Arabidopsis thaliana: one gene and its partner. The protein of the gene in region 1 interacts with the protein of each later gene in a pairwise test. Each region holds a gene or a part of one and is shown on either strand. Other genes may lie near its edges.

Region 1 (4,749 bases):
AGAATCTTTGCTTTGGTTTCTAATAGGGAGTGTTAAGGAAGCCCGAGTGGATGTGGATAGTGAGGGAACTCCTACTCCTCAGGAGAGAATGTTAAGGACAAAAAGATCGCTTCAAAAGTGGAAGAGCTTTCCGAATCGAGCAAGTTCGTTTAAAGGAGGGTCAAAGAGCAAGAAGTGGTCAAAAGACAATGATGCAGACATCCTGCAATTGAATGGCAATCCGCTGCCTAAACTTGCTGAGGAAGAAGAAGCAGTCGGAATCATTACGATGGAGGATGTCATTGAAGAACTTCTGCAGGTAAGGAATCTTATATAAGTTAAAAACAAAAATTCTTTTTCACGGATTAATTATTGCTTGGCTTGTGGTTGCAGGAGGAGATCTTTGACGAAACTGATCACCATTTTGAAGACTCCTAACACAGAGTGCATGACCACTGAACTGGTTATGAATGTCGAAAACTTTAGTCTTTGTTTTCAACTTTCAAACTGTCACTTGTCCGGCGAATGTGTATCAATGTAGGCATGAACAACAACTTTTTCTATGGTTTCAAGATGTTTTCTCTCTATATATATATCATTGGTCTCTAAGATATGTCGCTCTCTCCTTTCTTCAAAGAGTTTTACCAAATCTGAACCCTCATAGGCCACACCAATAGTTGTCTCTACTACCTATATATCATTAGTCTCTAAGATATGTCACTCTCTACCTTACTTCAAAGAGTTTTTATTCGCATTTTACTAATACAAGAATTAATGAAATATGATCATCTTATGGATACAACATCACTGCCGGTGTAAAAAGGCAATTACTTTTGTCCGGAAAGATCTAGTCCCTACCATATTTTCTCTTCTTCCTATCCCTTTTCTTCTCTTTTGACTTGTGTTTCTTACTAAGTTTCTTCTTATGCTCCTTTCTCTTTCTATGAGCCCGTTTGTAAACTTCCTCCTCGTCGGAAGAAGAAGAATCTGTCCTACGTCTCAATAAAGGTGATCGCTCTGGCTGAATCACTAGCTTCCGATCTCCTGTATCAGAAGTTCTTGACAATTCCCTCTCAGGAAGACAGGGTAGCGGTTCATCCATCATAGCACCAACAGAACCTCTGCCACGCTTGACCCTATCATAGACCAGAATCACAAGTTTTATCAGCAAAAGCCGATCCCAAATTCGATCATTATTGTAAAGGAAATAATCAGGCAGCATCTGAGTATAATGGAAATACCTTGATTGGAGAAAAGTCTTAACCTCGACATCTCCTAAGCCTTCATCATCATCATCCTCTGATTGCCATCTTTTGCTTCTGCTCCGGCTTGATGATGGTGATAAACTAGTAGTAGTAACATTCTCATCAACTGAAGTACATCTCTTTAAAAAATCCCTCCTATTGTTCTGCTCACTTTGACCATTGCTGCTCTCATCTCTTGATTTTCTTTTGAGCCTTTCACCAAACTCAATCTCTTTACTCCGAAGACTCCACATCTCATTGGTTTCCACAGCTTTGTTTGCTGAATGGAATAAAGAAGAAACAAATAAGAGATAAACTAAAAAAAAACTAGATTTTGTTGGATAGAAGCAAAGTCTGTCAACAAAAGATTATACCTTGCTGAACACCAAGAACTGTAGCAGTGAGAAATCTAGAGTTAGGTCGATGCCTTACATTAGGCTTCTCAAGATATGCTCTGACGCCATCTTTCTCAGCTTGTCTCCTCAATTCTGCTGCTTCTCTTAAAAGAATGGAAGCTATTCGATTTTCAGTTTCCAGATCCATCTACTCCAAGGTAAAACAAAAAAGTATAAGCCTAATCAAGTTATGTGATCAAATCAATCTGGGTAGATCAAACAAAGATGGAGTTGAACTTAATTCGACCACTACAGCTATCTAAATCATTGCTTCTTAATCACAGAACTTCCACTAAAGCTACGTTCTTTCGACAACGAAATCAACGAAGCAAAACAAACAAAATTACGTAAACACACAACAATCGAAAAGGGGATTTTTGGAGAACCCTATTGGTCGAGATTAATTACCACGAAATCGAATTGACTCAGATACAGATATCTAGTAGCAGCTTCACGAAATCGTGCGATTCCTCGGCGTTTTCCAGCAGGCGCAGAGCAAAATCATTGTCCGAGCCAGAGAGAGAAATAAATAAATTGAACTGAATTGGAAAATTCCCAAAAATTTCTAGTAAAACCGAACCGGAACAAACCGGATTAATTTCCTCTCAGACCAAACCGAAGAAGAACCCTAGTTTTATCAGTCTCACCAACTATCTCCCATGGTTCATTTGCTCTGCAAATTTGTCTGAAAAAATCTTTGTGCGAAGCAGGAAAAATGTCGTCGACCCATCAGTTAGTTTCTTCGATGATCTCTTCTTCCTCATCCACTTTCTTAGCCCCTTCAAATTTTAATCTCAGGTGCGTCGTTTTGTTTTCTTTTACTCTCTGTTTGCTACTGATATAATCTAGTGAGGATGAATATGAAATTGGATTCATTTCCAGAAATTAATTGTATGTTATGAATTTACTTGGAAATTTCAATCCTTTGGTTTTTAAGTCGATGTTGGATGGTGTTGTTTGGCCAGAGAACAGTGCATTTGCTTGTGATGATCATTGATTCATTTTTTTATTGGTTTGCTTTCCTTTTTGGCTTCAGAACTCGAAATGCTTGCTTACCCATGGCAAAACGGGTCAATACTTGCAAATGTGTTGCTACGCCGCAAGAGAAGATCGGTAATGTTCCTACTCCATGTTGTTTTTGCTGTAATGATTAGTAACATAGTTAATGATTTATCGTCTTTTAGCTGTTTATCTGTTTCTTACAATACATGATTTTGTTTTCTGTATGTAGAGTATAAGACCAAAGTGTCACGGAATTCAAACATGTCCAAACTTCAGGCTGGATACCTATTCCCGGAGGTTTGTTACCTGTTACTCTCTTGGTACTACTATTTAAGATTTCAAATACCTAAAGGAGTGGCATTTCAAGTTAACATTTTTGAAAGCTTCTAGTGATCTGAAATATTATAACTATCTGTGTAATAAGTTAATATATCCTCATTGATTCTGTATATAATGCTCCTCTCTCTTATTTTTTTGTGTGGATGCAAACAGATTGCAAGAAGAAGGTCTGCACACTTGTTGAAATATCCAGATGCACAAGTTATAAGTCTTGGAATAGGCGACACAACTGAGCCAATTCCTGAAGTGATCACTTCTGCTATGGCAAAGGTACCTCCTTATCTTAACTTAGCTTCATGTGCTCTTTGCCCTTCTCTGGGCTCTAGCATATTTTAAACTGATTTTACTAACACTGCCCTAACATGTATTATTTCGTTCATTTTGACAAAAATGTATAACATATTTTCTGTTTTGGCGTATTTGGATTATTAAACGAGAACTTCTCTGTAATCTAACAATGAAAATTATTCTGGTAGCATAGTTTTTTTGTTTGCTATACTATTCACACAGGCATGTAATCTCTAGAGATTAATCATGTTTTTTTTCTCTGACAGAAAGCTCATGAGTTGTCAACAATAGAGGGATATAGTGGTTATGGTGCTGAACAAGGTGCAAAGGTCAGTGCACCCTTCATTTCCACCTTATTGCGTTGTTATCATTTCTTTATTATCTGCCTTTGCACGTCACTTCAATTTTATTATGGATAGTCTTGAACTGCTGCTAAATTCAAGAGAAGATGGATTTAAACCTGTTTCTTACATGTAAAATCTTAAAGCTTAATCTGTTAAGTTTTTATCCAAACTAACCTTGATTTCACATATGTGAAAAGCCACTGAGAGCTGCTATTGCGAAAACATTCTACGGTGGCCTTGGCATAGGGGATGATGACGTTTTTGTTTCTGATGGAGCTAAATGTGATATCTCACGTCTCCAGGTTTGTTTTATTGCTGACTATTCATCTGTAATTGATACAAGATTAAGAAATATGAACAGCTGTTTCTTGATTCCACTTCTTGCAGGTTATGTTTGGTTCCAATGTTACAATTGCTGTTCAGGATCCTTCATATCCGGTAATTGGGCATATAGAAACCAAATTGCAGTTGTAGTCTTCTCTACTTTTGCTCCATTTTAACGTGGAACTATGCTGTCTCGTTTTTTTTGGATTATACAGGCTTATGTGGACTCCAGTGTTATTATGGGTCAGACTGGGCAATTTAACACTGATGTGCAAAAGTATGGAAACATCGAGTACATGAGATGCACTCCAGAGAATGGCTTCTTTCCCGACTTGTCCACCGTTGGCAGGACAGATATAATTTTCTTCTGTTCCCCAAATAACCCTACGGGTGCTGCTGCCACGAGAGAGCAACTAACGCAGTTAGTTGAGTTTGCAAAGAAGAACGGTTCTATAATAGTGTATGATTCCGCCTATGCAATGTACATGTCTGATGATAACCCACGATCCATCTTCGAAATCCCTGGAGCAGAGGAGGTAATAGACTGATTGATTATAACATTAAAAGGTCCATTTTTCAACATCTTTCTTCATGTGTACAACCGCTTACAGGTCGCTATGGAGACAGCTTCGTTCAGCAAATATGCTGGTTTCACTGGAGTTCGACTTGGTTGGACTGTCATCCCGAAAAAGCTACTCTATTCAGACGGTTTCCCTGTTGCCAAAGACTTCAATCGGATTATCTGCACTTGTTTCAATGGTGCATCTAATATCTCTCAAGCTGGTGCTCTTGCTTGCCTTACACCCGAAGGACTTGAGGTTAGCTTAGCTAAAG
Region 2 (4,799 bases), about 15 Mb from region 1:
TTCGTAACGATGAATGAGAGAGTAGTTTGTTGCTGACCAGAGGATCATGGTTTTGTCTACGGAAGCGGAAGCGAGAAGATTGCCGTCGTTGGAGAATTTGACGCAAGAGATCGCCGCCGTGTGACCTTCTAGGGTTTTCAGGTGACGGTATGGCTTATATATCGGAACGTTTCCGCTTGTTCCTGCGTTACCGGTGGAATTCGCGTTAGCGACTCCGTTACTTGTTCCGTTACCACCGCTTGGCATCGTCGTCTCTCGTCGGATTTAGCAGAGTGGAGATGATCTCAATGAATCTCTCACCGTTACATATATATACATTCCGTTGACCATGACCTCTTGGGAATTACATTTTTACCCTTCATTCCTCATTTCTCGTATTGGTGGTTCTTCGGCTCGGTTCGGTTCGATTTGAATTTGTCGATTTTGTTGAACTAAAATTGGTCCGGTTCGTTTGGTTTATTTAGTTCGAAGGCACTTTATTCGGTTGGTTTCAGTAATGAGGTTTCGGTATATTTGGGTTAATTTCGGTTTGTATAATCGGTTCAATTCGATTTTAATGCCCACTACATTAGAGGACTCTGAAATCAAGATTTATGTATCCAAACATCTGTGAATGAAATTGAGATAAATCCATAGATGATGGTTATATTATACACACAACAGAAGGGAAGATTTATGCAAGAAACGAATGTAATTTTGAACATTGAGAAGATCCTATGAAGGCTTGTTTTTGCCGTAAATATCTTCAAAACCATCAGCTACTCGTTTCCTTCTTTCAGCAATCATTTCTGAATACGACTGAACCAAAGTACACGAAAAAACCACCAGAATCTCAAAGACAAGACCAAAGTAAAGTCTTGTTCACTAAGATTATAGAAACTAGCATTGTCTGAAGATGTTTAAACAGGATTTTTACTTTAACTTAGACTTAGTAAATTAGAGCTACGAACATTTCTTTAGTAAGGGAATGAAAAGGAGAGGTTGTTAGATGATGGAAGGGAAAATCATACCTTTGGGTAGCTATAAAGGAATATGTACCACCAAGCACCAATTACACCAACCGCAAGCGATGAAACTATGACCGAGTGTAGTATTACCCAGCTACATGCCACTATTGATAGACCCGTTAACATTATCGTCCATGGCTGACACCTGAGAAACATAGCCAGTTGCTTATTCAAAACCATACGGAAGAACACTAGGCCCTGAAAACGTCTAAGAAGAACCGTAAAGTTCTTGATTGCAAATACACACCAGATCAATAGATATTCAAAGCTGTAGATGCTGAGGTCGAAATGTTAAACCCTTCTTAACCCAATTACCATTACATAATCTGTATTTTGGTTCTTCACTATCTTCCTAACCAAAAGATTCAAACTTTTTCTTTCTATCTTCTAAACCACAACACACAATCATGAAACTGTAATGGGGTAAGTCTTGTTTTAAGTAGCATCAATAAATATATAGCTTCATATATGATTCAAAAAAGTTCTTGGGCAGGCATAAATCACTGAAAATGCTAATAAAGATTAAGGATTGGTCCACTTAAAAGTGAACTTAAGACTCTATCTAAGCTATAATCCCATATTCACAACCAACAAATACGATTCCTCATAAGTCTTAGGACCAAATCCAAACTACTTGAAATAAAATTGTTGGGAACTTAAATGAGATTTACCAAGAGGGTTTAGTGTCCCAAACAGAGTCGTATTCGAGAGAGAGATTGTCTAAGAAACCTTCCATGTCATCAACTACGCCTTTTTCATCGACAAATCTTGAATCCTTCGGCTCTCTCCGATTCCCACCAAAACTTCTAACTTTCGTACTAATCCTTATTGGTTTGAGATTGAACGAGTGTAAGTTCGTTCGGAAACTGAGTTTTGAAAGAAGATTCTCTGTTTGAGGCCGAAACGGCGACAGAGACACGGCGGACATGGAGAGACTTGCCATCTGAAGACGACGATAAGGATAGAGGACTCGATTGACTCTAATTAAAATGTGGGGTGCTTTGTGTAAAATCAAAACATGATTTTCAGTGGTGAATAATGATAAATATTGGGCCTATTCGTTAAGGGCCCAATAAGTAAAAAGGCGCAGATACTGTATATGAATCAAAGCCCTAATTTATCAGACAGCTGCTTAGATTTTGTTTTCTTCATTGTCGTCGTCGGAGTGAATTAGGGATTCGAGAATGACGATGAACTCGCTTCCGAGGAGATTTGGGAAGAATCATGGCTATTTGGATCGAGATTATCGAAACGGAAGACGATCTGGTTCAGATTCCGATGAAGAATTGAAGGGATTGAGTCACGAAGAGTATAGGAGGCAGAAACGGCTTAAGATGAGGAAATCAGCCAAGTTCTGCTTTTGGGAGAACACACCGAGTCCACCTAGAGATCAGAACGAGGATTCCGATGAGAACGCCGACGAGATTCAGGACAAGAACGGCGGCGAAAGAGATGATAATTCGAAAGGGAAAGAAAGGAAAGGTAAATCTGACTCGGAATCTGAATCTGATGGTTTGAGATCTAGGAAGAGGAAGAGTAAGAGCTCGAGGTCTAAGCGCAGGAGAAAGAGATCTTATGACAGCGATAGTGAATCCGAAGGGAGTGAGAGTGATTCGGAAGAGGAAGATAGGAGACGAAGGAGGAAGAGTTCTTCTAAGAGGAAGAAGAGTAGAAGCAGCCGTAGTTTTAGGAAAAAGCGAAGTCATAGGAGAAAGACGAAATACAGTGACTCTGATGAGAGCAGCGATGAAGATAGTAAAGCTGAGATTAGTGCTTCTTCGTCTGGGGAGGAAGAAGATACCAAGTCAAAGAGCAAGAGGCGGAAGAAATCTTCGGATTCTAGTTCAAAACGAAGCAAGGGAGAGAAGACGAAGTCAGGGAGTGACAGCGATGGTACTGAGGAAGATTCGAAGATGCAAGTAGACGAAACGGTGAAGAACACTGAGCTAGAACTTGATGAAGAAGAGTTGAAGAAGTTCAAAGAGATGATTGAATTAAAGAAGAAATCTTCAGCTGTTGATGAAGAGGAAGAAGAAGGTGATGTTGGTCCAATGCCATTACCTAAAGCTGAAGGTCACATCAGTTATGGTGGTGCTTTAAGACCCGGTGAAGGAGACGCCATTGCACAGTATGTTCAGCAAGGTAAACGTATCCCACGTAGAGGAGAAGTGGGTCTTAACGCTGAAGAGATTCAGAAGTTTGAGGATCTTGGTTATGTGATGAGTGGAAGTAGGCATCAAAGGATGAATGCTATTCGTATTAGAAAAGAAAACCAGGTTTACAGTGCTGAAGACAAACGGGCATTGGCCATGTTTAACTACGAGGAGAAGGCGAAGCGCGAGGCTAAGGTTATGTCTGATCTGCAGCGGCTTGTGCAGCGCCATATGGGAGAAGAGGTGGGGCCAAATCATGACCCTTTCGGTGCTGGAAAGACTGAAGAAGATGATGATTGATTTTGCTTGGCTTCCTGCTTCTGTTATGTGGGTACTCATCTTATGCTTTATCTTGTTGAATGTTCCTTATTTGCATCATAGATACTGCTGTTTGCTACTTGCCCGTTAATGAGCTTCGTAGTTTATGCTTTAATCTGCTATGTATCCGTTAATGAGCTTCATAGTTTATGCGTTAATCTGCTATGTATCACATGATTGTGTTTGTGTGTCAAAGATAATAGATTCTGACACTGAGGATCTGCAACCGTTCTTGTGCATTTACCTTAGGTCATGTTCGATGATTGAATTTTGCAGGGCATTCACTTAGTTCTGAGATTGTAGAACAATCAATTATTTAGGATATCCGCTTTGAGCCCACCACTGTATTTTCGAATAATGTCCTTTAATGAGCTTCACAGATTATGCATTCCTCCCTCTGTATTCATATCATTGCGTTTGTCTGTTAAGAATCCAGTCATATCATCATCAATGTTATCATTGTCACCATTATTATCATCATTCTATTTTTAGAACTGTGAAACAAAACAAGTACTTATATATATTATTGGGGATCTCTATAATTGTGAAGTGCAATAATTTCGGAATTTGGAGGCAGATAAAATTTGCAATAATATCCGAATTTGCAGGCAGATCATATTATTGGTAAATTACCTGCAAGGGTTCCAATTATAGTTTATGATTCCACTTTTGTGGAACTATACAATGTCTGAATCTGTTCTCAATAAATGCACTATCTCAATAGAAGACCCTACCAAGTACCTAGTCCATAATCTATTATTCGTTTCATAAATAATAACATATAAATCATTCAAAGAAGCAAAATGATTTTGGTTAAGAATTGAATGACAAAGAAAACGACATCTGTTCAATTTAGAGGAGATTAGCATTTTCGTATTACTATTCAAAGCTTAAAAATAGTATTTAAAAACAAAAAAATTATCAAAGAAATGTCATGTAAAGGTCCTCTTCTCATGCACGAAACGAATGATAATTAAATTAATTTATGAGCAAGACGCTTAAGTGATCCTTAATTGCTTTGTTTATAAAATAGTTTAATTATTATTACTCTGCTCAAGTAAAGAACGTGAAGGACAAAATGGTAACTGAATATAGTAAAGGGTATTAATGTAATTTCAATTCAGCAGACTCATGAAGTAACTGTGCCTACTTAAAGACAACTGCTCTGTTCTCTCTCTCTCCTTCGTCTCTATCAAGCTCATTTCTCAGATCCGTAGGATCTTCATTTCCATGGAGGCTTAAAAACCCTAGAAGATATTCTTTTACACATCACTCATCCGCTAGTGAAGATAAAAATCATTTCTAGAGCTTCCTCTTTCTC

The links. Proteins that work in one complex are often made in the same cells at the same time.
Region 2: the proteins of AT4G33690 (region 1) and AT4G02720 interact in a two-hybrid assay, tested with the Arabidopsis thaliana proteins (2 studies listed by BioGRID).

What each region holds. Positions count from the first base shown.
Region 1 is NC_003075.7:16,172,215-16,176,963, reverse strand, and holds AT4G33690 (G patch domain protein), read right to left. Parts: upstream 2,209-4,749; 5' UTR 2,027-2,208; intron 1,767-2,026; coding exon 1,598-1,766; intron 1,504-1,597; coding exon 1,221-1,503; intron 1,116-1,220; coding exon 827-1,115; 3' UTR 636-826; downstream 1-635. Other genes in the region: AT4G33700 (CBS domain protein (DUF21)), read left to right, coding at 27-298, 373-417; AGD2 (Pyridoxal phosphate (PLP)-dependent transferases superfamily protein), read left to right, coding at 2,334-2,416, 2,655-2,731, 2,850-2,917, 3,113-3,229, 3,514-3,576, 3,789-3,893, 3,979-4,029, 4,131-4,451 and 1 more.
Region 2 is NC_003075.7:1,203,206-1,208,004, reverse strand, and holds AT4G02720 (Ras-induced vulval development antagonist protein), read left to right. Parts: upstream 1-2,112; 5' UTR 2,113-2,191; coding exon 2,192-3,460; 3' UTR 3,461-3,916; downstream 3,917-4,799. Other genes in the region: WDR5b (Transducin/WD40 repeat-like superfamily protein), read right to left, coding at 1-246; AT4G02725 (spindle pole body-associated protein), read right to left, coding at 715-798, 1,011-1,152, 1,679-1,950.